7 linked regions of the Callithrix jacchus genome follow. The protein of the gene in region 1 purifies or fractionates together with the protein of each later gene. This does not show direct contact. Links are inferred from orthologs where the notes say so. Each region holds a gene or a part of one and is shown in the gene's direction. Other genes may lie near its edges. The genes, in order: TSSC4, ECD, PRPF6, EAPP, ZNHIT2, DDX23 and AAR2.

What was found.
Region 2: the proteins of TSSC4 (region 1) and ECD purify together in Homo sapiens (affinity purification with mass spectrometry; 3 studies listed by BioGRID and IntAct, counting the BioPlex papers as one, with this or other methods). This does not show direct contact. The link is inferred for Callithrix jacchus from reciprocal best matches to the Homo sapiens genes TSSC4 and ECD.
Region 3: the proteins of TSSC4 (region 1) and PRPF6 purify together in Homo sapiens (affinity purification with mass spectrometry; 3 studies listed by BioGRID and IntAct, counting the BioPlex papers as one, with this or other methods). This does not show direct contact. The link is inferred for Callithrix jacchus from reciprocal best matches to the Homo sapiens genes TSSC4 and PRPF6.
Region 4: the proteins of TSSC4 (region 1) and EAPP purify together in Homo sapiens (affinity purification with mass spectrometry; 3 studies listed by BioGRID and IntAct, counting the BioPlex papers as one, with this or other methods). This does not show direct contact. The link is inferred for Callithrix jacchus from reciprocal best matches to the Homo sapiens genes TSSC4 and EAPP.
Region 5: the proteins of TSSC4 (region 1) and ZNHIT2 purify together in Homo sapiens (affinity purification with mass spectrometry; 3 studies listed by BioGRID and IntAct, counting the BioPlex papers as one, with this or other methods). This does not show direct contact. The link is inferred for Callithrix jacchus from reciprocal best matches to the Homo sapiens genes TSSC4 and ZNHIT2.
Region 6: the proteins of TSSC4 (region 1) and DDX23 purify together in Homo sapiens (affinity purification with mass spectrometry; 3 studies listed by BioGRID and IntAct, with this or other methods). This does not show direct contact. The link is inferred for Callithrix jacchus from reciprocal best matches to the Homo sapiens genes TSSC4 and DDX23.
Region 7: the proteins of TSSC4 (region 1) and AAR2 purify together in Homo sapiens (affinity purification with mass spectrometry; 3 studies listed by BioGRID and IntAct, counting the BioPlex papers as one, with this or other methods). This does not show direct contact. The link is inferred for Callithrix jacchus from reciprocal best matches to the Homo sapiens genes TSSC4 and AAR2.

What each region holds. Positions count from the first base shown.
Region 1 is NC_133511.1:129,467,956-129,472,255, reverse strand, and holds TSSC4 (U5 small nuclear ribonucleoprotein TSSC4), read left to right. Parts: upstream 1-1,500; 5' UTR 1,501-1,685; exon of another isoform or gene 1,686-2,691; 5' UTR 2,692-2,825; exon of another isoform or gene 2,826-2,976; 5' UTR 2,977-2,999; coding exon 3,000-4,013; 3' UTR 4,014-4,212; downstream 4,213-4,300. UniProt on the Homo sapiens protein: Protein associated with the U5 snRNP, during its maturation and its post-splicing recycling and which is required for spliceosomal tri-snRNP complex assembly in the nucleus.
Region 2 is NC_133513.1:56,997,084-57,000,583, forward strand, and holds part of ECD (protein ecdysoneless homolog), read left to right. Parts: intron 1-1,861; coding exon 1,862-1,968; intron 1,969-2,103; coding exon 2,104-2,290; intron 2,291-3,220; coding exon 3,221-3,288; intron 3,289-3,500. UniProt on the Homo sapiens protein: Regulator of p53/TP53 stability and function. Inhibits MDM2-mediated degradation of p53/TP53 possibly by cooperating in part with TXNIP. May be involved transcriptional regulation. In vitro has intrinsic transactivation activity enhanced by EP300.
Region 3 is NC_133506.1:59,454,445-59,458,537, forward strand, and holds the start of PRPF6 (pre-mRNA-processing factor 6), read left to right. Parts: upstream 1-1,293; 5' UTR 1,294-1,402; coding exon 1,403-1,473; exon of another isoform or gene 1,474-1,528; intron 1,529-3,147; coding exon 3,148-3,316; intron 3,317-4,093. UniProt on the Homo sapiens protein: Involved in pre-mRNA splicing as component of the U4/U6-U5 tri-snRNP complex, one of the building blocks of the spliceosome.
Region 4 is NC_133509.1:69,044,596-69,048,593, reverse strand, and holds the start of EAPP (E2F-associated phosphoprotein), read left to right. Parts: upstream 1-1,198; 5' UTR 1,199-1,270; coding exon 1,271-1,344; intron 1,345-3,998. UniProt on the Homo sapiens protein: May play an important role in the fine-tuning of both major E2F1 activities, the regulation of the cell-cycle and the induction of apoptosis. Promotes S-phase entry, and inhibits p14(ARP) expression.
Region 5 is NC_133511.1:122,197,078-122,200,300, reverse strand, and holds ZNHIT2 (zinc finger HIT domain-containing protein 2), read left to right. Parts: upstream 1-1,338; 5' UTR 1,339-1,472; coding exon 1,473-2,684; 3' UTR 2,685-2,723; downstream 2,724-3,223. Other genes in the region: delta(14)-sterol reductase TM7SF2, read right to left, coding at 3,082-3,223. UniProt on the Homo sapiens protein: May act as a bridging factor mediating the interaction between the R2TP/Prefoldin-like (R2TP/PFDL) complex and U5 small nuclear ribonucleoprotein (U5 snRNP).
Region 6 is NC_133510.1:70,732,011-70,735,510, forward strand, and holds part of DDX23 (putative ATP-dependent RNA helicase DDX23), read left to right. Parts: intron 1-896; coding exon 897-1,035; intron 1,036-1,313; coding exon 1,314-1,447; intron 1,448-1,579; coding exon 1,580-1,692; intron 1,693-1,926; coding exon 1,927-2,070; intron 2,071-2,167; coding exon 2,168-2,393; intron 2,394-2,685; coding exon 2,686-2,831; intron 2,832-3,500. UniProt on the Homo sapiens protein: Involved in pre-mRNA splicing and its phosphorylated form (by SRPK2) is required for spliceosomal B complex formation.
Region 7 is NC_133506.1:3,058,581-3,062,756, reverse strand, and holds the start of AAR2 (protein AAR2 homolog), read left to right. Parts: upstream 1-1,376; 5' UTR 1,377-1,402; intron 1,403-4,176. UniProt on the Homo sapiens protein: Component of the U5 snRNP complex that is required for spliceosome assembly and for pre-mRNA splicing.

The sequences.
Region 1 (4,300 bases):
CCAATGGGCTTGGTCTAGGCTCTCCTATCTTCCCTCACACCGTGGACCCTGGGGTGGTGCTTGCTGTCGCTCCGGCTGCTTTTCCCTAGTTGGGGAGATGAAGCTGCTGGCACATTGACCCCTGGAGGAAAGGAGTGACTGGGAATTTATGTCTAGGGCTCCCAGCAGCCTCTCTGCAAGCCAATTTGGAAACTGCCCCCGGCCCTGCATTTTGGGGGGTTACGGAGTCTCTCAGCAGGCCCTCTCCTGCTGCTCCCAAATTCCAAGGCTGCACTGCTTGGGAGCACAGGACGGTGCAAGGAGCCCCCTCTCCACTTCCCGCTGTGTCCTCCGTGGGCGGGGAATGACATCCCAAAGGCCGCAGCAGGTCCTTGAGTCCTGTTTCCCGGCGGATGCCAGGACAGCAGGCCCTGGGAAGGGAGTTGTCTCCAGCCTTGACACGGCCCAGCGGTGTAGCCGCCGAGGGGAACTCAGCTCCCCGCAGTGTGCGGGGCACAGGGCGCCAACCAACCAGGGCCCGTGGCCCAGGGACACGCGGCTTGTCGGGGGGAGAACCTGGGCCCTCGCTCTCCCTTTCAGGGCGGGCACCGTGGACAGGCGAGGCCAGGCTGCCGGCTCCCAGGCATGGCGGAGGCCACACCGCTCCGGCTGCCGCCCACCCAGCCACGCTTGAGGAGCGTTCAGCGGCCTCCACCCCGCCCGGGAGGACGGGGGACCGGGGACCTGGAAGGGCCTGGCCCTGGCTTCCCTGCAGCGCCCTCGGAGGCCGGACCAATGTGCCAGAGCTGAGGGCCCAGGGCTGCGCGGGCGGCCCGGCAGCGTCCCCAAGGGCGACGCCCCACAAGTTTGCCTCCAGGGCCCAGCCAACCCCTAGGGGTGGGAAAGCGTCGGCCCAGCCAGAGGATCCAGCAGGGCCGCCCCCTTCACCCGTGGCCCACAGGTCAAGACTCCGCGTCCTCATCTCGGGCTGGGACCGCCTTTGCGTCCGCCCTGAGCGGGACCGTGGGATCCTGGGGAGCCCCGCCTCAGTGCTCCGAAGCCCCGGAAGAGCTACAGCTGCCGCTTCCGGTCATGACCGGAAGTGTCCGAACGGCATTCGCCCTCCCTATGAAATGACGCACTTCCTGCCTGAGGCGGCCGCTGTTCTCACGGTTTCCAGCAGGTGGCGCTGGGACCACGGAAAGCCGGCGCGGCGGTCGGTTAGCCCTCGAGCATTCTGGGAATTGCAGGCGTGGCCCCTCCTTTTCCTGTTCTCCTTGGTCAGTTCCGGTCTTGTTTCGCCAACAAATGCCGCGGTTCCGGGGCTGTTTCCGAGCCGGACGCCAGGGCCGCGGTGTCCTGGAGTAGAGAGGCGGACGCATGCGCACAAGACTACACGTCCCGACAGGCGTCGGGAGCGGCGGCCCAGTGCCTTGTGGGAGGTGTAGTTTTGCGGGCGTGGAAGCCGCGGCGCTCGGCCGGATGAACACTCGGTTTCCCAGAGGGCTGAGCGCGTTGCATGGGCGGGCGGAGCCGACCAAGATGGAGACGGCCGTGCCGCCTTGAGCTGGTAGGTTTGTGTTGAGGAACGACGGGCCGCGTGAGCCGGGTGAGCCTCCGGGAGGTCACCGAGCGCAGCTGAAGCCCCGCTGTGCTCACCGACCCCCGTACCCCGCGGCCGAGCCCTTGGGACCCACAGCATCCTCGTGAGTGTCCAGCCCGACTTCGCACCGAGAGCCGACTTGGCACAGAGAGTTTGTTCCCTGGCGGGGAGGTCTTGCTGGCGCATAGAGAGGAGAAAGGCCAGGCCCTGCCTTCATGTGGGCAAAGGGACGGTTTCCTTCAGCCTCCGTCCCTGCCGGCTCTAAAACGGACATCAGTGGGGGGTTCCGGGTAGCCCCTTTCATTTACGGGGTGGCTTCTTCACGGAGGAGAGTCACGCCGCAGAGGAATTGAAGTGCTGCCTCTGTTTGACCTGGTGGGGGGCACTAGGAGCCCCTTCTGGTACCCCTGACCCCATCCTTGTTGGGAGCACGGGACACATGTCACCCTGGCGGGCAAGGAGTCAGTGGATGGATGAGGGCAGTGCAGAAGGGTGAGGCCGGGCCGTCCTCTCCACTGGCAATGCCAGCTCCGAGGCACCCAGTCACTCCACCACTAAATGGGTGCGGGAGGCCGCTTGGCTGCCCCGCTGGAAAGGCGGTGTGTGTGTTGAGTGTTACACGGGGAAGGCCACTAGAGGTCGCTCCAGGAGCTACGCGGCTTTGCCTCTGCCTGTGAGGGCTGCTCGAGGTGATTGATGGGCTGACACCCCACTTTGTGCGATGCCAGGGCCTTGGCTGCAGATGTCTTGGGAGCTCCCGGGGCTCTCCCAGCAGATAGGAGCAAACCTTTTCCCCGATGACCAGGAAGGTGCCTGCTCTTGCTCACCCCCCAACAGCAAGCAGCTTATAAGTAGCTCTCCTGCCTGATCTCGGCCCTGGGTTCCAGCCCTGGGCGGCTGCTTACTACCAGAATCGCTTCGTAGTTCCAAGCCTGCCTGCAGAGGGTTGACGCGATTAAATTAAGTCACGACTCAGAAGTCCCTACCCTGGGTTCTGGCCTGTCAGGGACTCCAAAACCCGGGCTCAGGTCGGTCCTGCCTCCCACCTCTTTCACACATTTGCGCTCCGGTCTGAGGATGGTCCTCTCCCCCACCCCTCCCACCTGCAGTCGAGCAGCTGAACAGACGCATGCCAGGGGCACTCCGAGGCCTGAGACAACCATACCTGTGCCACTGAGGACCTTCATCAAGGTTCCGCCCACCTGGCTGTGCAGCCACACTCCAGTGTCAGCAGCCAAGGGAGGTGAGAGGAGGGCTGGGAGGGGGAGAGGGGCCTCCACCCTGTGTGGGACAGGTCTGCCGGCTGACCCTCCTTGTCCAGGGGCGGTTGATCTGCAGGAGACTCATTCTTAACACTGTTCCTGAAACGAATCTCCTGGGCTGTTTTGGTCTAGGTGTGACGTGGTCCTGGGAACGCATGGCTGAGGCAGGGACAGAGGAGCCGTCCCCCAGCGTGGAGGGGGAGCATGAGACGGAGTATGACACGCTGCCTTCCGACACGGTCTCCCTCAGTGACTCGGACTCTGACCTCAGCTTGCCTGGCGATGCTGAAGTAGAAGCGCTGTCCCCAGGGGGGCTGCCTGGGGAGGAGGATTCAGGCCCCGATGAGCCGCCCTCACCCCCCTCAGGCCTCCTCCTCCCATCTGCGGTGCAGCCGTTCCATTTGAGAGGCATGAGCTCCACCTTCTCCCAGCGCAGCCGTGACATCTTTGACTTCCTGGAGGGGGCAGCCAGGCGGGCCCCACCCCCTGTGGCCCACAGCAGCAGAAGTGACAATGGAGGCTTCAAGCGGCCCCTGGCACCCTCAGGCCAGCCTCCAGTGGAAGGGCTGGGCAGGGCCCATTGGAGCCCAGCCTCCCCCAAGGCGCCTCCAGTCCCCGACTACGTGGCACACCCCGAGCGCTGGACCAAGTACAGCCTGGAAGATGTGACCGAGGTCAGCGAGCAGAGCAATCAGGCCACCGCCCTGGCCTTCCTGGGCTCCCAGAGCGTGGCTGCCCCTACTGACTGCGTGCCCTCCTTCAACCAGGACCCCTCCAGCTGTGGGGAAGGGAGGGTCGTCTTCACCAAACCAGCCCGAGGGGTTGAGGCCAGACACGAGAGGAAGAGGGTTCTGGGTAAAGTGGGAGAGCCAGGCAGGGGCAGCCTTGGGATCCGTGCCCCAGATAGGGGCGAGGGCCCAGTGGAGCTGGCCCATCTGGCCAGGCCCGGTAGCCCAGAGGCTGAGGAGTGGGGCAGCCCCCACGGGGGCCTGCAGGAGGTGGAGGCACCGACAGGGCCTGTCCACGGTGGGCCTATGCCAGGCCTCCCACTGGTGGAGACGGTTGGCTTCCACAGTAGCAGGAAGCGGAGTCGAGACCACTTCCGGAACAAGGGCAGCAGCTCCAAGGGCCCAGGCGCTGAGGTCTCAGAGGGAGACGGGGCCGCCTGACCACACTGGCCACTGCCGTCCTGCTGCCTTCCCAGGAGGTCTGGCCAAGGGGCAGCTAGAGTGGGAGGGAGCCTGCATGCTGCCTGTAGGTGGCACCGGTGGCCCTGGGTGTCATCCTCCCAACAGACCTGGCTGAGGCTCCTGGGGTGGGCTGGAAGCATTGGCTACCTGGTGGGGACAATAAAGGTTTTGGGACTTCCTCAGGCTTCGTGTATATCTGGGCCCTGCTCACCCCTGTCGGCTACGAGGGGTCCCGCTTGGCTGCTTCCAGCCTCACCGCCAGGCCA
Region 2 (3,500 bases), on another chromosome or scaffold:
CAAATAATCATAACAAAAGGCAAGATAAAAATCATTCTGAAATATCAAATGCTAAAGAGAGTCAATAGTGAGAAGGTAATTTCACTAGGGTAGAAGCAGAGAAGCTAAAAAAAGAAAGATAATGGAAAGGTTCAGGGAGGAGGTATTTGCATTACGACTTAAAAGAATGAGGATTTTTTTTAAATGCATAAAGATGTTTATTTTATAAATATATATATATATATATATATATATTTTTTTTTTTTTTTTAATGGAGTCTCTAGACACCCAGACTGGAGGTAATGGTGCGATCTCAGCTCACTGGAACCTCTGGCTCCTGGGTTCAAGCGATTCTCCTGCCTCAGCCTCCCAAGTATACCTGGGATTATAGGCACCCACTACCATGCCCAGCTAATTTTTATATTTTTAGTAGAGACAGGGTTTCACCATATTGGCCGGACTGGTCTCGAACTCCTGACCTCAGATGATCTGCCTGCCTCAGCCTCCCAAAGTGTTGGGATTACAGGGGTGAGCCACAATGCCTGGCCTGCAACATTGTTATATCAACAAATTCAAACAAATGTTCATATGTAGAGAAGTGGTTAATTAAATTATGGCATGTTCTGGGAATGCTGTTTAGCTCAGTGTTTTTCAGTGTATCAAATCTATTTTGTAAGGACTTAGAAGGCCTTTCAAGTCGTACTAAGTAAAACTGACTGAACAATATGTTTATTATATTTCTGCATATTTGCTTTTTCCTTATTTGATGGGTTTCTGCCTCACCCTTCTAAGTAGCTTGGACCACACACATGTGCTACCATGCCTAGCTAATTTTGTTTGTTTGTTTGTTTGTTGAGACAGGGTCTCACTAGGTTGTCCAGCTCCCGAACTCAAGTAATTGACCTAATGTGGTCCCCCAAAGTGTTGGGATTATAGGCGTAAGCCACCCTACTCTGCTTCAGAGCCAAAGGGGAAGCAAATTGGCTAGATCTCTTTGCCTCTATCTTCCACTTTAATTTAATTAATGTATTTATTTTTTGAGACAGAGTCTTGTTCTGTCACCCATGCTAGAGTGCAGTGGTGCAGTACTGGCTCACTGCAACCTCTGCCTCCCAGGTTCAAGCGATTCTCCTGCCTCAGCCTCCCGAGTAGGGGATTACAGGCACATGCCCCCATGCCCAGCTAATTTTTGTATTTTTAGTAGAGACAAGGTTTCACCATGTTGGCCAAGTGAACTCCTGACCACAAGTAATCTGCCTGCCTCGGCTTCCCAAAGTGCTGGGATTACAGGAATGAGCCACCATGCCTGGCCTATCCTCCACTTTAATCAAAGCCATTTTTCTTTGAGCCCTTCTGTATTTTAGAGTTACTGGTAAAAGTTTTATTTGATGGGGTTTCATCATGTTGGGCAGGCTCATCTCGAACTCCTGACCTCAAGTGATTTGCCCCCCAAAAAAAAAAGGTTTTTTACTTGATAATTCAAGAAGAAAATTTTAAAAAATAAATAAATAAAAATAAAATTTAAAAAAAAGTTTTATTTGAGAAAAGGGGATCTGCAACCTAAAAATATGCTTAAAAACAAATTAGAGCCAGGTATTTTGGCATGTACTTATAGTGCCAGCTACCTGGGAGGTTGAAGTGGGGGATCACTTGAACCCAGGAGTTTGAGTTCAGTCTGGGCAACAGTGAAACCCCATCTCTTAAAAAAAAGAGCAAAAACAAACCAAGAACTCCCCAAATTAGACTGGTTAATCCCTATAAAGTAATTATAATATGTATAAAAACAATTTCGTAGAGGTTCCAACTTTAAAAGACTATGTATTTATGATTACTATTCTAAGTTCTTTTATGAAGAAATATTCATGGTTTTCATTTTTTATAGTTCTCTTGCTATGAGCCCAGGTGAAGAAATCTTAACCTTATTACAGACAATGCCATTTGATATAGAAGACCTTAAGAAAGAATCAGCTAATCTTCCCCCAGAGGATGGTAAGTGATGGACTGGGATACAGTGGAAGGGTTAAAAAGAAATTAAAATCTTCTACTAAGTCTCACAGGATCCTCTCCTGAAAGGACTTATCATGTGAATGTAGAATGGCAATATTATGCTTTCTTCTTTTTCAGATGACCAGTGGTTAGATCTCTCAGCAGATCAGCTGGAGCAGTTGCTACAGGAAGCTGCTGGCAGAAAAGAATCAGAGTCTATTTCCAAGGAGGAGAAGGAGCAGAACTATAACTTAACTCAAGTCTCAGAGAGCATGAAATCTTTCATATCCAAAGTCTCAACCCACAAGGGAGCAGAGCTGCCTAGGTAATTTGCATAAAAGTATAAATATATAAATAGTTAGAACCCAAATGTTGAAATCATTGGCCATTGCCATTTCTACTTTTTTTTTTTAAGTAAATGAGTTGTACTGCTTTCTTTCTTTTTTGTACCTAGTATAGTGACAACTTACTTATCTGAAATCAGATTTCTAGAAGCCTCATCCTTTGCAATCCTTGAAATAAGCCAGAAAGATCACCCAACAGATCTAAAAACCATCATCTAGAACCACACAGGGAAACCATGTATTTTACTCTTTAATAGCCTTATGGGCTCAACATTTAGCTTTCGACAAGTTCAGACTTCTGATCTCCCACCCTACAAGCAGATTGGATACTGAAAACTCAAAGGGATTCATCAGAGGCAGAAATAATAACAGAAATGTGAAATTACATTTGGCAGGTAACAAGAAAAACAGGTAGATAGAATTGTTACTTATGTATCAAATATATCATTTTTAGTGTTGGTGCTCTTGAAGCTGGTGAAAGATCTAAATTTATGTTTGGTATTCTGTCTTTAATAAGGGAGGGATAAGGGAAGATATGTTCTTGTTTATTTTTTAAGCTTTAGTTCTTAAAAAAATAGGCTTTATTTAAATTAACTCAAATAAATAATGCTTTTACTAATGCTAGATATCTTACTGGGGCTAGAGAGTGGGTAGGTCCCTAAATTAGCATAAGTTAAATGTACATAAACAAGATGCAGTTTTTACTTTTCATTTATCAGACTTTCCCATTTCTGTTGTCCTGCAAGGCCAGTAAGCTCACGGATTTTTAAGACTTCAACTACAATTTTTCTTGCTGTGCCTCCTTAGAAATTCTATCTTTGGTAGCTTTCTTAAGAATGGTACCACTTTAGAAAAGTTTCAAACGGTTATATTTAGAATAAATTAATTGTCTTTGTCCTTTAATATTGCAGAGAACCTTCTGAGGCTCCAATCACTTTTGATGCAGATTCTTTTCTTAATTATTTTGATAAGATTTTAGGTAAGTAATGGTGTGATGTTCCCTTCCATTTTAAAACTGTAAGTAGCATGGCTGTTGCTAGAGCATTGGGTTATTAGATATTTCAGAAGCCAAAATATTTGCTTTCTCTTCCTGGTTTTGAATTGCTTTCAACCATGAACTACTACCCGTCAACAATTTTGCCTAGCTCAGTGCTTGACATATGTAGTAGCTGCTCATTAAATATTTGAGAG
Region 3 (4,093 bases), on another chromosome or scaffold:
GGGTCCTCTGAGGTCCGGCCCCTCCGTGCGTAGGGATGGGCTGACGGGCATCTTGCGGGGCCTTCTACCCACAGCCAGGAGAAGGGGCAGATCAGCCCCTCCCACATACTGCCCTCGGCCTCCTGCCTCTTTACTCTCCCTGGAATGGGCACCCGCTTCCCGGGGAAACCAGCTTGACTCTTGCTTACCGCCCACCCCACTGTGAACATTAGGGTTACTCTTCCTTCCCTCTGCAGCCCCAGAACCTGGCTCAGTGCCCGGGGGGCGGTGCAGTCCTCTGTAACTGAAAGGGGCTTGGCTGGAGATGGGACAGAGAGGAACTCCAAGGAGGCTGTAGCAGGCTGGAGCGATGTGTTTGCTCCAGGACTCCAGTGAGAAATGCTGGGCTGGGCTGTGATTGGCTTGCTCTGCCCAGGAGCCTAGGTGCTCTCCCTGGGTGTATGCAGGGGATCTGGAGGATGTCTTACAGCAGAAGGAGCAGAAATGCGTGCACAGAGTAGAGTCATGCACGTGTACCCAAAACGAGCACACGTGACCTCAATGTGCACACACCCCACTAATTCACACACACAGAATTCACCCACATGCTTGACAGCCATGTTTATGTACTGACGTGTTCCTGACAGGTCCGCTGTGGTGATTTCGTCAGTTAGCTCTCCGGGAGCTGAGAATGCGGCCCTCACCAGAATGTCCAAGGCATATTGGGGGCCGTGGGTGGGGTCTCTAATCCCGCTGGAGGCACAGATGCCTGAATGGGAGCCCAAAAATGTGAATGCTAAAAGCACAATGTTGCGGGGGTGCCCCTACGTAAAAGCATAGGGCAGCAGCGTGCGCACAGGACGCCCACAGGCAGGTGTGCCCACAGACAGGTGTGCCCATAACCAGTACGCACAAGCTCTACACAACTGCACGGGGTGCGCTCCACTCGAAAGTGATCAGGGCCCGCCAAGGGCGAGGGCGGGAAGCTGGGCTGGTTCAGAGGGAGGGGGCCGAGGGCCCTACTGGCAGACAGGTCTCCTTGGGAATGCATCAGAGCACTGGGGAAGCAGCGATGCCCGAGGCTCAGCTTTTGGGGCCGTCCCCGGAGCCCGTTAGGGTCCCAGTGCAAGCTCGGCCTCGTTCCTCCTGCCCCGCCACGAGGAGGCGCTCCAGCTCACGCGCCTGCCATGTCCCCGCCCCCTAGCCGCGGCCGGAAGTCGTCAGGAGCGCGTCGGGGCTTCCGCCCGGGGAGTCAAAAGTGGGCGGGCTTTGTGCGGACCGAGCGCTCTGCTTCCGGGGCGCCAGTGACGCGCCAACCGCGACCTCCTCCTACCGAGCGCCTCGGACGTCGGAGCTCGGAGTGTCTGCGTCTTTCTCTCTTCCGCGGCTTCATTCCTTCCTAGCCTTGGTCATCGTCGCCGCCATGAACAAGAAGAAGAAGCCGTTCCTGGGGATGCCCGCGCCGCTCGGCTACGTGCCGGGGCTGGGCCGGGGGTGAGGCCTGGGGCAAGACGTGGGGCGGCGACCCGGCTGGCGGAGCGCAGTGCAGGTGTTTGGGGGCGGGGGTCTTTGGCTGCGCGGTCTGAAAGACACTCGGGGGATCGGCTTAATCCCTGCAGGAAGCCGCGGGCTTTGGGTCAGGACAGACGTGTGTATGCAGCCTGCCTGCTGCATGGTTGTGACGCCCTGGCTGTCAGCCCCAGTGTAAGATGATGCTGTGTGCAGCCTGCAGTGAGGAGTAGTGGAAACGCGGCCGCCTTCCCAGGTCAGGCTGACACCCCCCTCGCCGCGCCTTAAGCGTGCCTGGGTCGGATAAGTGAGCAGTCATTGCTATCCTATCTGATCATTCATTTGATGAGGAAAACTACTGGGTTTTTCTTGGTGGTGATATACTAGAATCTGTGGGGCACACACAAGACTCGGATATTGACTGCGCCTTCAGAGGACCCGAAGCTCATGGAGGGTTTGGTGTTACCATAAATCAGTACGTAAGGAGGATCAGATTTAGAACCCAGTGCTTAATGGAGGGTGTCGTTGGGGCCAAGTTTAGTAGGAGAGCTGGACTTAGGGCTGCCGAAATATGGTAGCGATAGAAGAGAAACTGCCATTGTGTGTGTGGAGAGTTAGAAAAAAGTGAGGCCGCCGGACACGGTGGCTCACGCCTGTAATCCCAGCACTTTGGGAGGCCGAGGCAGGTGGATCGTGAGATCAAGAGATCGAGACCATCCTGGTCAACATGGTGAAACCCCGTTTCTACTAAAAATACAAAAAATTAGCTGGGCATGGTGGCGCGTGCCTGTAATCCCAGCTACTCAGGAGGCTGAGGCAGGAGAATTGCCTGAACCCAGGAGGCGGAGGTTGCGGTGAGCCGAGATCGCGCCATTGCACTCCAGCCTGGGTAACAAGAGCGAAAACTCTGTCTCAAAAAAAAAAAAAAAAGAAAGGAAAAAAGTGAGGCCAGGAGGAAGCCCGGGGAACAGGGGAGTCCAGTGTGAATAGGATGTGCAGCCAGTAGAACAGAGCTTAGGAGGTTGGAGTGGCCTTGAGCCACAGGCTAGAGCTCCTGGAGACGTCGGAAAGACCGTGACCCTTCAGAAGTTTTCAATCAGAGCTGTGTTTTGGGAAGAATCATCTTGCAGAAGATGGGTTGAAGTAGAGGAAGGCTAGAGGCAGGGAGGGCTAACTTGGTTTCCAGCTGTGGTGGGAGTCATAGTCTGGGGAGGAGAGATTTTGGAGGTGGATTCATTAGTACTTAGTGGCAGACAGGATGGAGAGAGTGGGAAAGGGAGGCAAATATTGTGTCATGGACCCACACCCATGGCATGTGGGTCAGCACGCTGAAACACCCCTGAGCAAGCTGTAAGGTGGGCCCAGAAGAGGAGCTCAGTTTGGGCCAAGTTGGGTTTAAGGGCCTGGCTGGATGTGGAGGGGGAGATGATCAAAGCCTTTGGGTGGAGGGATTGCCTTGGAAACGTCATCAGGGTGAGTTGAAACCTTCGGGTAAGTAGAGATCGGTGGTATTTGAGACTGCAGTTCATTGTCACCAGGATCTTTGGAGATTTCCCAGAGGTGTTAGAAATAGAGGTGATATTAAGTGATGACCAGGGGTGGAGAAGAGCCTGGGAACAGGCGCATTCAGATACTGGGTGTCTTGGGGGTCTCCTGCAGTGCCACCGGCTTCACCACACGGTCAGACATTGGGCCCGCCCGTGATGCAAATGATCCTGTGGATGATCGTCATGCGCCCCCAGGAAAGAGAACCGTTGGGGACCAGATGAAGAAAAACCAGGCTGCTGATGATGATGATGAGGACCTAAATGACACCAATTACGACGAGGTGGGATGTGTTGGGCTTCTGTGGCTCCTCCAGCCAGTCTCTGGGAGCAGCTGACCAGCTCCCTAACCAGTGGAGTGGCTCATGCATTTAAAATTTCAGCTATTCACGGGACATCTTTAGCAGAGTGAGAGGGAGCAGGAAAAATACGGAGGAATGTGCACTTTTTATCTCTTCAGAGAGATGTTCTTGCAGATATGAGGACCACTGCCCTGGTATTTTGTATTGGTCAGTCTTTTATCATAAAAACCGAAAGTATTTGGTTTTTTTAGCGTTAGTGGTTGCCCTCTAAAAAGACATCTAAAGGAAAACCTCAGCTGACTGAATACCGATTAACTGTCTTCTAACAGATCACATTTTTCCTCTGAGGAAAATTTTTAAAAATAATTTTAGTTTTGAAATAATTTTAAATTTGCAGGAACTTGCAACAGTAGTGCCAAAAAAAAGTTGAAAAAAGTTGGCCAGGCATGGTGGCTCACATCTGTAATCCCAGCACTTTGGAAAGCCGAGGTGGGCGGATTACAGGATCAGGAGATCGTGACTATCCTGGCCAACATGGTGAAACCCTGTTTCTACTAAAAATACAAAAATTAGTTGGTCATGATGGCACGTGCCTGTAAGCCCAGCTACTTGGGAGGCTGAGGCAGGAGAATCGCTTGAACAAGGAAGTCAGAGGTTGCAGTGAACAGAGATCACACCATTGCACTCCATCCTAGCCACAGAGTGAGACTCCCTCTCAGAAGAAAAAAAAAAGGTTTCTGTGTATCTTTCACCAAGCTT
Region 4 (3,998 bases), on another chromosome or scaffold:
CACAGGACACAACTATTACGGGGTTCCCCTCCGCCCCCCACCCCGGTTAAACATGAAGCTCTAAGATCTCCCCAAGCAACTTGACAGGACATCGTTTTCCCCGAGCATCTTCTTTTTTATTTATAAAAGTAAAAAAATAAAGAGAGATAGGATCCTGCTTTGTTGTCCAGGCTGGCCTCGAACTCCTGGGCTCGTACAGTCTTCTCACTCTGGCCCCCTAAAGTGCTGGGATTACAGGGGTAAGCCACCGCAGCCAACCTCAGTCTTCTTGTGATCCGTAATGTGACAACCAATACAGCTACTTAGTGGTTGATGGCTGGACAGTGTATACAGCGTGGACAGTTACTTAAGTAATTATCTATTAAGAAACACATGTGGCTGGGCATAGTGGCTCTCACCTATAATTCCAACACCTTGGGAGAACGAGGCAGGAGGATCACTGGAGTCCAGGAGTTTGCAACATAGTGAGATACTTGTTTCTACAAAAAATTAAAACAAAAAACAACCACATTTGATAATAAATTTAAAGTCTTCAAAAGTGACTATTTTAGCACTGCCCATCCATAGTAAATAGTTTGTAAGACACAATTTGACATGAAAAAATGTGTGTATAAGCACCTCAGAATTCAAAGTTAAAGGGGTATAGATAATTTGATAAAAATTATTAGCATCAGTGATGAGGTGGGAATTTTGTGTATAATATCCAATTCAGAAATTAAAATTGAATTCGGGTTATGTGATCCACTAATTTTTCAGTGGTTTTTAGATATTTGTGTTAACGTTTTTATTATTATTTTATTTTTACGGGGGAGGGCAAGACAGGGTGATGGGAGGGCGGGGTCGTGTTAACATTTTTTCTTTAAAAGGTCTTACTCTGTTGTCCAGGCAAGAGTATACAATGGCAATCACAGCTCACTGCACCTTTGAACTACTGGGCTCAAGCAATTCTCCTGCGTCAGCCTCCCTGCCCAGCTAATGTTTTAAACTTTTGTAGACATAGAGTGTCATTTTGTTGCCTAGGGTTGTCTTGAACTCCTGGCCTCAAGTGATTTTCCTACGTTGGTCTCCCAAAGTGTTGGTATCACAGGCATGAGCCCCACCTCTCCCCCACCTTTTACCTGACCCGTCGCTTCCGTCGTCTGCGCAGGCGCGCAAGGGGGACTCGGAAGTGCAGGCGGAAGTAGCGTCGGGACGCTTTAGGGACGGAACTTGCAGAGTAAACAGAGACGGTGCAGATCGCAGTGGACGGTGTAGGACGCTGCAGGCCACCATGAGCCGGCTGCCGAATGACTACGACCCCTACGCGATTGAAGAGCCTAGTGACGAGGAGCCGGCTTTGAGCAGGTGGGCCCTGCCTTATCCTGGCACCCGAGGCTTCGGGCGGAGGCCTGGCTTGGTCGCCTCCACTCGTTGCGCCTGCCAAGCCTATGCAGATGCGGCTCGGGAGCCTGTCGTACATCACTGTCATTTGTGCGAGGCCAAAGGGCTTTCCTGATGGGGTCGTGCAGCTACCGGGGAGGTGGGGCCGATTTTTCTGTAAAAGAGAGAGGTTACCGGAATCTCCGGACGTGTGTAAATCTTCAAAAGCAATGAGACTGAAACCTGCCTCTACTGCTTGGCAGCAGAGTGACTGAAGACAGGTCACTTATCTTATGTTACTTACCTGTAAAATGTAACTATAATAACCTATAGTTGTACAAGCTACATAACATAGTATAACACATGTAAATTTATTGAGAGGCTCATAGGAATTAATGTGAAGTACCCATCTTGACTAAACTGCCGTAAACAGAAATAAGGGAATATTGAACAGGACTTTTTTTTTTCCTACATGGGGGACTGCTTTATTTTGCTCCTAGCTACAGAGGTAAATCATAAGGTCCTTGTCTTCCAGAGCCTTAGTAGTATGATAAGGGTAATAAGATAAAGTAGGTATCTTGAAGAGCATTGTAGAAAATATTGACCTGAGACAGGCACAGATGAAAGTTCGTGGGATTTCTAGAAGGGTGTGATTTATTCTACAGGGAAACTTGAAGCTATGTTGCTAAGAGATTTCTACACCAATTTAGTTATTTCTTTTCTTTCTTCTTCTTTTTTTTTGAAAGTCTCACTCTGTCACCCATGCTGGAGTGTAGTGGCGAGATCACGGCTCACTACAGCCTTCCCCTCCTGGGTTCAAGCAATTCTCCTGCCTCAGCCTCCTGAGTAGCTAGGATTACAGGCATGCACCACCACCCCTGGCTAACTTTTGTATTTTTAGTAGAGATGGGTTTTCACCATGTTGGTCAGGGGGTGTTAAACTCTAGACCTCCTGATCTGCTTGCCTTGGCCTCCCACAGTGCTGGAATTACAGGTGTGAACCACTGTGCCTGGCCTAGTTATTTCTCTTTTTTTGAAATGGAGTCTGCTCTGTTGCCCAAGCTGGAGTGCAGTAGCACAATCTCAGCTCACTGCAACCTCCGCCTCCTGGGTTCAAGTGATTCCCTGTCTCAGCCTCCTAAGTAGCTAGGATTACAGGTGTGCACCACCATACCTGGCTAATTTCTGTATTTAGTAGAGATGGGGGTGTCTCCATTTTGGTCAGTCTGGTCTTGAACTCCTGACCTCGTGATCCGCCCACCTTGGCCTCCCAAAGCACTGGGATTATAGGCTTGAGCTACCGCCTGGCCCTAGTTATTTCTTAAGCTGTCAGCAGATTCTATTTTTTTCTTGAGACAAAGTTTCACTCTTGTTGCCCAGGCTGGAGTGCAGTGGTGTGTTCTGGGCTCACCGAAACATCTGCCTCCTGGGTTCAAGTGATGATCCTACCTCAGCCTCCTGAGTAGCTGGTATTACAGGCATGTGCCACCATGCCCAGCTAATTTTGTATTTTTTTTTTTGAGATGGAGTTTCGCTGTTGTTACCCAGGCTGGAATGCAATGGCGCAATCTTGGCTCACCGCAGCCTCCACCTCCGAAGTTCAAGCAATTCTCCTACCTCAGCCTCCTGAGTAGCTGGGACTACAGGCGTGCACCACCATACCCAGCTAATTTTTGTATTTTATTTATTAATTTATTTATTTTTTGAGACGGAGTTTCGCTGTTGTTACCCAGACTGGAGTGCAGTGGCACAATCTTGGCTTACCGCAACCTCCGCCTTCTGGGTTCAAGCAATTCTCCTGCCTCAGCCTTCCCAGTGGCTGGGACTACAGGCACGCACCACCATGCCCAGCTAATTTTTGTATTTTTAGTAGAGACGGGGCTTCACCTCGTTGACCAGGATGGTCCTGATCTCGACCTCGTGATCCACCTGCCTCGGCCTCCCAAAGTGCTGGGATTACAGAAGTGAGCCACCGCGCCCGGCTAATTTTTGTATTTCTAGTAGTGATGGGGTTTCACCATGTTGACCAGGATGGTCTCGATCTCTTGACCTCATGATCCACCCGCCTCGGCCTCCCAAAGTGCTGGGATTATAGGCGTGAGCCACCATGCCCGGCCCCTAATTTTTTATTTTTAGTAAAGACAGAGTTTCTCCATGTTGGTCAGGCTGATGTCGAACTCTAGACCTCAGGTGATCTGCCTGCCTTAGCCTCCCAGTGTGTTGGGATTGTAGGAATGAGCCACTGTGCCTGGCCAGATCCTAGTCTTAAAGCTTAAAACATTCATTCTGTTCAAAGAAGCTTTCTGTGAAGCCATGCTTTCATTAACAACTTTGGCCAGGTGTGGTGTCCCATGCCTGTAGTCCCAGGACTTTGGGAGGCTGAGGTGGGAGAATCTCTTGAGCCTAGTAGTAAAGGAACAGCCTGGGCAACATAGTGAGATCTTACTTCTTAAAAAAAAAAAAAAAAAAATTAAAAGAACAATGTTTCCTCATATTGTCGTGGGAGACATTGGATACATAGGAAATCAGACTGCTGTTAAGATTTCTTTGGTGAGGAGTGAGGATGTATACCAGGATTCCCTGTGAAAAAGAGTCTCAGGTATGGGTCCTGTCTGTGAAAGGATACACACACACACACA
Region 5 (3,223 bases), about 7.3 Mb from region 1:
GATGGATGTGATCTGATTTCTCTGGCAGGTTTTTCTGGAGGGTGGCAAGAAAGGAAAAACAATGTATTGTCATCCAGGTGAAGGGCAGGAAGCTTAGACCACCAGTAGTAGTGGGAATGCAAAGAATACGTTCACAGTTTGGTTTGTCACAACCCCATTCCGCCACAAGACAGCTCTATTAGGACAGGGACCCCCCTCCCCCCCCGCGCCCCACTCCCTTTTATCTGTGTTGTGTTCTTGGCACCTACAATGGGGCCTGCACTTAATAAAGATGGATGAATAGTAGTATTTAATGAAAAGGTGGGTTTGGAGGAAAATAGGAGCTCAGATTTTTTTTTTTTTTTTTTTTTGAGACGGAGTTTCGCTCTCCTTACCCAGGCTGGAGTGCAATGGCGCCATCTCGGCTCACCGCAACCTCCGCCTTCTGGGTTCAGGCAATTCTCCTGCCTCAGCCTCCTGAGTAACTGGGATTACAGGCCCACACCACCGTGCTCAGCTAATTTTTTGTATTTTTAGTAGAGACGGGGTTTCATCATGTTGACCAGGATGGTCTCGATCTCTTGACCTCGTGATCCACCCTCCTCGGCCTCCCAAAGTGCTGGGATTACAGGCGTGAGCCACCAAGCCCGGCCGGATATTTCTTAAATACTGTTTTCTGCGGAACAGGGGAAACACACCGAGGCTATGTAGGCTAGGCGGACCCAAATGCCTTTTTTTTTTTTTTTTTGAGGAGTTTCTCTCACTGGCCCAGGCTCCCAGGCTGGAGTGCGGTGCCACGATCTTGGCTCACTGCAACCTCAGCCTCCTGAGTAGCTGAGACTACAGGCACCCGTCCCCACGCCCAGCTAATATTTGTACTTTTAGTAAAGACGGGGTTTCTTCATGTTAGTCGGGCTGGTCTCAAACTCCTGACCTCTGGTGATATGCCTGCCTTGGCCTCCCAAAGTGCTGGGATTACAGGCATGAGCGCCCGGCTCCAACTGCCCTTTTATCTGTGTCCCCTAGTGGAATGGCTGCTTCTCCAGCGCAGGGTTGCATCACCTCCCGTAGGCTTGACACAATTAGTGGCCCACGGTAGATGCTTCGCAAATACGGATTTCTGCCACAGCGCATTATAGTGCTAAAAAGAGGGTTTTCTGTTTAGACTATCGGACTACGTTTTGGTGTAACCACTAGGGGGCGACGTGGCACGGGCGGACCGCTGGTCAGACCCATTTTTCCGCTCCTTGCGTCATCGTACAGGGCGGGGCTCGTACCTGACTCCCGTTTTCTGGGCCCGCCCCCGCCCTGCTTGGGAAAGGGGTGGGGTTCGGCTTCCGGGCGTGGGCGGAAATTGCCGAGAATCCTTGGGAGCTTTGCGAGACCAACGCGCGCCGTCGGCCCCGCGGTGGACCGGAAGTAATCAGAGAAGTCTCGGAAGTTTCGAACTAACGCCGACTTGCATTCGCAGGTAGGTCGTGGCGCCAGTTTCCATGGAGCCGGCCGGGCCCTGTGACTTCTGCCCGGCGGGGGAGGGCCAACCCGCGCGTTACACCTGCCCTCGCTGTAATGCGCCGTACTGCTCGCTGCGCTGCTATCGGGCGCATGGCACCTGCGCAGAAAACTTCTACCGTGACCAGGTGCTGGGAGAGCTCCGCGGCCGCAGCGCCTCGCCCAGCCGCCTAGCGAGCGCCCTACGCCGGCTGCGTCAGCAACGCGAAACCGAGGACGAGCCTGGGGAAGCAGGCCTCAGCCCCGGCGCGGCGCTCGGCGGCCTCTCGGGACTCTGGGAGCGGCTGGCACCGGCCGAAAAAGCAGCCTTCGAGCGGCTGCTGAGCCGCGGTGAGGCCGGGCGGCTGCTGCCTCCATGGCGGCCCTGGTGGTGGAACCGCGAATCCGTAACGTCGCTCCTAGAGGAGCTGGATGATGCCCCGGGCAGTGATGCCGCGGGGTTGGAGCCCGCCCCTGCGAGGACCCCGCAGGAATCCGTGAAAGTTGCCTCCGCCGCGGAGCCTGTGGCCGCCGGGCGGGTTCTTGGACATGCTCCAGGGACCTTTATGCCCGCCGTGCCCACCCGCATCCCCGCGCTCGTCAGCTTGAGCCGCGGCCCAGTCTCGCCGCTTGTGCGATTCCAGCTGCCCAACGTGCTGTTCGCCTACGCGCACACTCTTGCCCTGTATCACGGTGGTGACGACGCACTGCTCTCTGACTTCTGTGCCACACTGCTCGGCGTTTCCGGAGCACTGGGTGCCCAGCAAGTCTTCACTTCTGCGGAAGAAGCCCTGCAGGCCGCAGCCCACGTGCTGGAAGCTGGCGAGCACCCGCCTGGGCCTCTGGGCACTCGAGGGGCTATGCACGAAGTTGCTCGCATCCTGCTGGGCGAGGGCCTGGCCAACCAGAAAGGCTACACGCTGGCAGCACTGGGACACCTGGCACAGACCCTGGGCCGTGCCCGGAAACAGGCTGTGGCTAGAGAAGAGCGAGATCACCTTTACCGGGCCCGGAAGAAGTGCCAGTTCCTCCTGGCCTGGACCAACGAAAATGAGGCTGCCCTCACACCGCTGGCTCTAGGCTGCGCCAGGGTTCATCGAGCCCATGCTGTGGCAGCGCAGGAGGTGGCTGCCCTCACTGGGGAGCTGGAGCGACTTTGGGGCGGCTCCGTGCCACCTGCCCCAAGGACTCTCATCGAGGAGCTTCCTGGCTGAACTGAGGACCCTTGTCAATAATAAAGCTGTGACTGGTCAGCCCTGTTGACAGTGCCTGTTTCCGAGGGACAGCTGTTGACCCACTGGGCCCACCAGCCATTCATTGCTCAGTTTCTCCCTGATCAGTGCTGACCCAGCCAGTCCTAAATACCCTAGCCCCAGAATGGCAGAGAAGTGCACCAAGGGTTCCCAGTGTTTATCCAAAGGAGGAAGACCATCTCTGATTTTGGTCACTTGTTTCATTTTTTCCTCGCTCTAAACTGCCTCTTCTCTGAGGCTGTTCATCCTCAGGGCTGGGTGGGGTGCAAGCCCCTGAGTCCTGAGTGTGCCCTGTCTCCTGGTCCTGGGTGTGCTGGATGAGTGGGCACATGCCCCGACCTGGGGTGGTGGAGCCGCTTCAGTAGATGTAGGGCATGATGCGGTAAGGCACACGCCGGCAGTATTCCTGCCAGGCCAGGCCGTACTTCTGCAGGCACTGCCGCTCATCCCGGGCCTCACGGTGCACCAGCAGCGCGGTGAAGTAAAGGAGGTAGAAGTAG
Region 6 (3,500 bases), on another chromosome or scaffold:
AGTACTGGGATTACAGGTGTGAGCCATTGTGCCCAGCTTAATGGTCTCATTTTGACTTAATCACCTCTTTACATGCCCTGTCTCCACATACAGTCACATTGTGAGGTACTGGGGGTTAGAGCTTCCACATATGAATTTTGAACTGGGTACAGTGGCTCACACCTGTAATCCCAATACTTTGGAAGTCCAAGATGGGAGGATCACTTGAGTCAGGGATTTCGAGACCAGCGTGGGTAACATGCTGAAAAGCCATCTCTATAAAATATAAAAAATTAGCCGGTTGTGGTATCATGCGTGTGTAGTCCCAGCTACTCAGGAGGCTGAGGCTGCAGTGAGCCTTGATGACACCACTGTACTGCAACTTGGGCAACAGAGCAAGAGACTGTCTCAAAAAATACATATAACACATGAATTTTTTTTTTTTAAAGAGATAAGGTCTTGTTGTTTTGCCCAGGCTGGAGTACAGTGGTACAGTCACAGCTCACTATAACCTCAAACTCCTGGGCTCATATGATTTTCCAGCCTTAGCCTGCTGAGTAGCTGGGACTACATGCACATGCCACCATATCTGCTGAGTTTGTTTATTTTTGTAGAAATAAGGTCTTGCTATGTTGCCCAGGCTGGTCTTGAACTCCTTGCCTCAAGCAGTCCTCCCATCTGGTCCTCCCAAAGCACTGGGATTATAGGCATGTGCCACTGCTTCCAGTCTAAAAAAACACATGAAATCCATAGGGGACATATTTCAGTCCGTAACAGGATCCAAGGCCTATTTGTATTTTCCTCAACAGGCTTAATGCCTGAGCAAATATTTTTGGGTTCCCTGCCATCTCCCCATCAGTGATGTGGTTATACTCTGCTCCCAGATCCTTTGTTTACAGTTCCAATCTGTTTTGTAGCCCAAGTTCCTCTCCAAAGCAGAACGAGAGGCTGAAGCTCTAAAGCGACGGCAGCAGGAGGTGGAAGAGCGGCAGAAGATGCTTGAAGAAGAGAGGAAGAAAAGGAAACAGTTCCAAGACTTGGGCAGGAAGATGTTGGGTTCGTTATTCTACTCTGTGTAGCCCCTAGATGGGAGAGGAAAGAGATGAGATAGTGTTTCTCAGGAGAGATAGAAACCTGTTCACTCTGAAGTTTGGAAAAGGGAAAGATGGTGGGAGTTGATGAGAAAACATTTTTCTGTTAGATCTCCGTTTACCCTGTATCATAAGTCTATCCCTTTTTTTCTTCATTTGGTGTTCCTCATCTGGATTCCCTCCATTCCCTCTCCTCTTTTCTTCCATGAGCTCTTCTGCAGCTTTGCTTTCTTTGGTCTGCAGAAGATCCTCAGGAACGGGAACGTCGGGAACGCAGGGAGAGGATGGAGCGGGAGACCAATGGAAATGAGGATGAGGAAGGGCGGCAGAAGATCCGGGAAGAGAAGGATAAGAGCAAGGAACTGCATGCCATTAAGGTGCAGGCCTTGGCTCCATCTTCACTTCTCTCCCATACACAAAAATGAGGTTTAGTTATTTGGCCATTGTGATCTCTGCATGTGAGACTTGAGCCTCGAGGCTTATGTGCTTTGTGTTCTTTCCCTGGGCAGGAGCGTTACCTGGGTGGCATCAAAAAGCGGCGCCGAACGAGACATCTCAATGACCGAAAGTTTGTTTTTGAGTGGGATGCATCTGAAGACACATCCATCGACTACAATCCCCTGTGAGTGGCTTCGGGCCTGAGTTCTAGGTCTTTTCCACTGGGCAGTCCTAGAGAGCTGATGACTGGAGTAAGTAAGATAAGCTGGGGTGGAAAATTGGTAGACTAGTAGTCAGCCAACCCTCTGGTGGAAAGAAGACCCTGTCCAGGAAGAACTGTTTCATATTGGCAATCTGTCCTTCCCTCCTACTGCCGTAGCAGCTCCTTCTCTTTTTTCTTCCTTTGTCTCAATCCCAGGTACAAAGAACGGCACCAGGTGCAGTTACTGGGGCGAGGCTTCATTGCAGGCATTGACCTCAAGCAGCAGAAACGAGAGCAGTCACGTTTCTATGGAGACCTAATGGAGAAGAGACGAACCCTGGAAGAAAAGGAGCAGGAGGAGTGAGTGATCAAGGCTAGGGTGGCTGGACAGAGCCCAGTCTCTACAGAAAGGAGTTGGAGGGCACTGATCCTACTTACTCCTCACATCCTGCTCCAGGGCAAGACTCCGAAAACTTCGTAAGAAGGAAGCCAAGCAGCGCTGGGATGATCGTCATTGGTCTCAGAAAAAATTAGATGAGATGACGGACAGGGACTGGCGGATCTTCCGTGAGGACTACAGCATCACCACCAAAGGCGGCAAGATCCCCAATCCCATCCGATCTTGGAAAGACTCTTCTCTTCCCCCACACATTTTGGAGGTCATTGATAAGTGTGGCTACAAGGTAAGGAGGGGCAGATTGGCCCAAGAGATCTGACATGTTCCTAGTTTGGGAATACAGAACTTTATTCCTTGACTATTTGGGACCATTGCTGCTAGTGGGCATCAACCTTTTCTATCAGTTTCTAGTAGAAGTGTTGGCTTTTAGTGATTATGTTTCTTCTTGGGGTCCCCATTTCTGTGGACTGTACTTGGCATCCTTCCATTGTGCTAGGAGATGTGCTTTCTACTATCAATGGTAGCCCAGGTTGTATAATTCTGCCTGTACCTATTACTCTTTCTTGGGGTCACTGCAGGAACCAACACCTATCCAGCGTCAGGCAATTCCCATTGGGCTACAGAATCGTGACATCATTGGTGTGGCTGAGACTGGCAGCGGCAAGACAGCAGCCTTCCTCATCCCACTGCTGGTGTGGATCACCACACTTCCCAAAATTGACAGGTGAGGTCAGCTGGCACCAGCTGGAGTGGGTTTTTCTGGGTAGGAAAGATGAAAGTGGCAAATGAATGTTTGGTTTTTGTTTTACACCTATAATCAGAAGCTTGCTTCTTTATTCTGGGTTGAATATTAGGGAATAATTGGATTGTGGTATCATAGAACTATATGTTGCTGGCAAAGACCTGGAGAACTTTGCTATCCTGGAGTCTCTGATTTTTATTTATTTTATTTTATTTTTTGCTGGCAAAGACCTGGAGAACTTTGCTATTCTGGAGTCTCTGGTTTTTATTTTTTAATTTATTTTATTTAATTTATTTATTTTTTGAGATGGAGTCTCGTTTTGTCACCCAGGCTAGAGTGTAGTGGTGGGATCTCGGCTCACTGTAGCCTCTATCTCCAGCTTCAAGTGATTCTCCTGCCTAGCCTCCCAAGTAGCTGGTGTTACAGGTGCTGACCACCACGCCTAGCTAATTTTTGTATTTTTAGTAGACACACGGTTTCACCATGTTGGCCAGGCTGGTCTCAAACTCCTGACCTCAAGTGATCTGCCCACTTTGGCCTCCCAAAGTGCTGGGATTACAGGCTTGAGCCACTTTGCCCAGACCCAGCCTCTGATGTTGAAGTGAGATCATTGCGTTCTTTTCTTATCACCCTCCCCATTTCCATCACTCC
Region 7 (4,176 bases), on another chromosome or scaffold:
ACTGGGAGTTGGGGATGGGTGAAGAGGGAGCTGAGCTTCTTCATGCAGGAAATGAAACTTGACAGGACAGGCTGAGATTGATAAGCATGACTGTGACTGATGAAGGCTGTCTCTGGTTAATCCTGCAGCAGCTCATTGTGATTAACCATGACTGCAGGGCCCTGTCTAGTCTGCAACCCACTAAGAGATAAATTTTGACCGAGACAGATTGGCGTGTCCAGCTGTCACTGAGGAAATGTGACAGACAAGCTAAGGAGCAGCAGCACAGAGATAAGAACATACAGGCCTTGGTTTGCATTCTAGCTCTGCCATTTTCTGGCTGGGTAACATCATCTGTTTGAACCTCAGTTTTCTCTTCTGCAAACTGGGAATATACATACCTACTTACTAGGCCAGTGTAAGGATTAGAAATACCCAAGTGGCCTGCCCTAAAATCACATAAGCCAATTCTTTTTTTTTTTTTTTTTTTTTTTCCCAGACGGCATCTTGCTCTGTCACCAGGCTGGAGTGCAGTCATGCAATCTCGGCTCATTGCTATCTCTGCCTCCTGGGTTCAAGTGATTCTCCTGCCTCAGCCTCCCTGGTAGCTGGGATTACAGGCACACACCACCACACCCAGCTAATTTTTGTATTTTTAGTAGATACGGGGTTTCACCATGCTGGCCAGGCTGGTCTCAAACTCCTGACCTCATGATCACCTTGCCTTGGCATCCCGATGTCCCGGGATTACGGGCGTGAGCCACCGCATCTGGCTTCACCTAAGCCAATTCTTTGCAATAAATCACTTAACACAGATCTCCTACTGGCTCTGCGTCTTTGGTGGAGCCCTGATTAATAGTGCAGAGTTAAACTCGCAGTACCGTCATCGCTCAAGACAGGCAGGTTCTTTCCAGGCGTTGACAGCCTGACTGACATGTCGGACTTGGCCCGCAGAAAGGACACGGGGGGATCGTGGGCATAGGGACTGAGGGAGCGGCTGCTGGTTCTCTGGGCCGGTGGCTGGGTCTCTCTCTGAGGGCTGACTGTGACTGGAAGCTGAGACGCTGTGACCGGGATAGACACTGGCTGCCAGAGACTGTGACCGAGCGCCTGGCTGGCTGCTACCGGATAACCATGGCCCTGGCGGTGCTTTAGTGACCGTGACGGCTTGAGCCCAAAGGAAGATGTCTGGGGGCTGTGCTTCTGGATGGGGATATAAAACGCGTAGCTTAGTCCAAGTTGTTCACAATTAACGAGACACTAATAACAAAAGGCAACACTGGATCCGCCGGAACCTGCCGGCACGGGCCGTTCTTCCCGCGACCCAGGGCTCCGCCGGACCGCTCTCTTGGTTGCTCCAGTCCGGCGCCAAACCGGAGAACTTCCGGTGCGTTTCCGCGGTTTCGGAACGCGGGGCGAGGCGGTGAGTGTGGTCTCCTGGCCTCTGTTTCCTCTCCTGATTCTGTGTGTGTGTGTGTGGGGGTGTGTGTGTGCGTGTGTGGTGTGTGTGTGGGGTGTCTGTGTGGGGTGTGTGTGTGTGGGGGGGTGTGTGTGTGCGTGTGTGGTGTGTGTGTGGGGTGTCTGTGTGGGGGGGGTGTGTGTGTGGGTGTGTGTGTGGGGTGTGCGGGGGGTGTGTGGGTGTGTGTGGGGTGTGTGGTGTGTGTGTGGGGTGTGTGTGTGGTGTGTGTGTGTGTGTGGGGTGTGTGTGTGGGTGTGTGGGTGTGGGGGGGGTGTGTGGTGTGTGTGTGGGGTGTGTGTGTGGTGTGTGTGTGTGTGCAGGGTGTGTGTGTGTGTGGTGTGGGTGTGGGGTGTGTGTGGGGGGTGTGTGTGTGGTGTGTGTGTGTGCGGGGGTGTGTGTGTGTGGTGTGTGTGTGGGTGTGTGGTGTGTGTGTGGGTGTGGGGTGTGTGTGTGGGGGTGTGTGTGTGGGGGGGTGTGTGTGTGTGCGGGGTGTGTGTGTGTGTGGTGTGTGTGTGGGTGTGGGGTGTGTGTGTGTGTGCGGGGTGTGTGTGTGTGTGGTGTGTGTGTGGGTGTGGGGGGTGTGTGTGTGTGGGTGTGTGTGTGTGGGGGGTGTGTGTGGGGGGTGTGTGTGTGGGGGGGGTGTGTGTGCGGGGGGTGTGTGTGGGTGTGGGGTGTGTGTGGGGGGTGTGTGTGGGGGGTGTGTGTGGGTGTGTGTGTGTGTGTGTGTGTTTGTGTGTGTGGCGTGTGTGTGTGTGGCCGGGCCGCCCCTCTTCTCGGCTTGGAATCGCGGAGTGCCTTGAACTAGGCCCACCTCGTCAGGGGGGCCGTAGACCCTTCCTGCACTGAACCTGGCTCTGCCCTACTGTCCGCGTGACTTCCAGTGAGGTCTTTTCCCGAACTGAGCCTTTGTTTCTCGTTTACAAAATGGATATCATACTTGTATTAACTAAATATTTACTAAGCGTCTCATGTGTGCTAGGAATACAGCAGGACTCAGTCTTGTGACGGTGACAGGCCTCAATCAAACATGCAAAGCTCCAGTGGTGATAATTGAAACGAAGGGTACAAGGCACCCGAGAGTGTGTCACAGGAGACCTGATCTAACCCCGGGTCAAGGAACCTTTACTGAGGAGGTGAATAGTGAGCTGAGATCAGAATAAAGATTTGACAAAATGGAGAGGGAAGAGTTTTCTATCTGGAGAGAGAGAGCCTCCAATTTCAGGGTCCGAAAGGGGAACAGAGCTTGTTGGGGACCATGGTGTGAAACAAGCTAAAAGGGTTCCCAGAGGTCAGACCATACAGACTTCATGGGTCATAGGAAGAATTTTGGTTTTCCGAGAACGATATGGGAAACCACTCAGAGGCTGACATGGGTGGTGATGTGATTAGATTGGCATTTTGAAACGGATACTGCTGTTGAATGGAGAATGGATTGAGGAGCAGGCACTCTCTGAGTGAGGGACAATGGTAGCTTGGATTAGGGAGGTGGTGGAGAGACGGGGATGGATGTGATTTTAGGTGTTCCAGGACTGTGAGGAACTCACAGAGCCGCCAGTGACAGGGGTTGGTAGACCGCAGAGTTCTGTGCATATTTAATAAACCTTTTCCTAGCATCTCCTCTGTGCCAGGCCATGTACCAGCTGCTGGAGATATAGTGAATAGAATTACAGGCTGGTGGAATTAGAATGAAAGAAATGTCATTATCAAGGAGGAGCACACAGATGTCACAAGGGAAAATGGCTAATTGATGAGAAGTTACTCTAAATGGAATCTCTGTTCATTCAGCAAGTATTAAGTACTTTCTGAATTCAGAATTACAAATAGAAAGTGATACAAATTATTTAGAGCAGTGTCTTTCAAACTTTTATGACTGTGACCTACAGTAACACATACATTTTATGACACAACCAAGTGTACATACAAACACACAAAGCTCCAGAAAACAGTACTTAGCTTTACTACTTATGATGTATTGTGATGTTCAAAAGTTCTGTTCTTTTCATTTAAAAAGTAATGCCGGTTGAGACCTTTACATGGATTTCCTAATTCACTGATAGTTTGTGACTTGCAGTTTGGGGGAAAAAATGTTGATTCAGGGTAAGAGTCATTTGTAGTAGTTTTGGGGTAATGATAAAATGTACTTATTTTTGGAACAGGATTGGTTTTCCTTTCCACACTTTTTATTTATTTATTCATTTAAAGTAAAAAAAGTAAACAGGGCTGGGCATGGTGGCTCACACCCGTAATCTCAGCACTTTGGAGGCTGAGGCGGGTGGATCACTTGAGAACAAGCATTCGAGACCAGCCTGGGCAACATGGTGAAACCCTGTCTCTACTAAAAATACAAAAGTTAGCCAGGTGTGGTGGTGCACACCAGTAGTCTCAGCTACTCGGAGGCTGAGACATGAGAATTATTTGAACCTAGGAGGTGGAGCATGTAGTAAGCCAAGATTGTGCCATTACACTCCAGCCTGGGTGATGGAGCCAGACCCTGTCTCAAAAAAAAAAAAAGAGCAAATAAAATTAAATAGGTCAACAGGCAGCAGGTTTTCTGTGTGAAATTTTGGCATCTTGTTTGTACATCTGGCTAGATTGGTGCCTAGAGGGCAGGGACTGTCTTAATCTCTGATGTTTCTTTGGGGGCTTGGCAAAGTGCAGGTACTCAGTGAGTATTTGTTAGATTAATCAGGTAGGTATTTTAGGACTGGAAGATTAGATAATGGTTTGTTTACATTTGT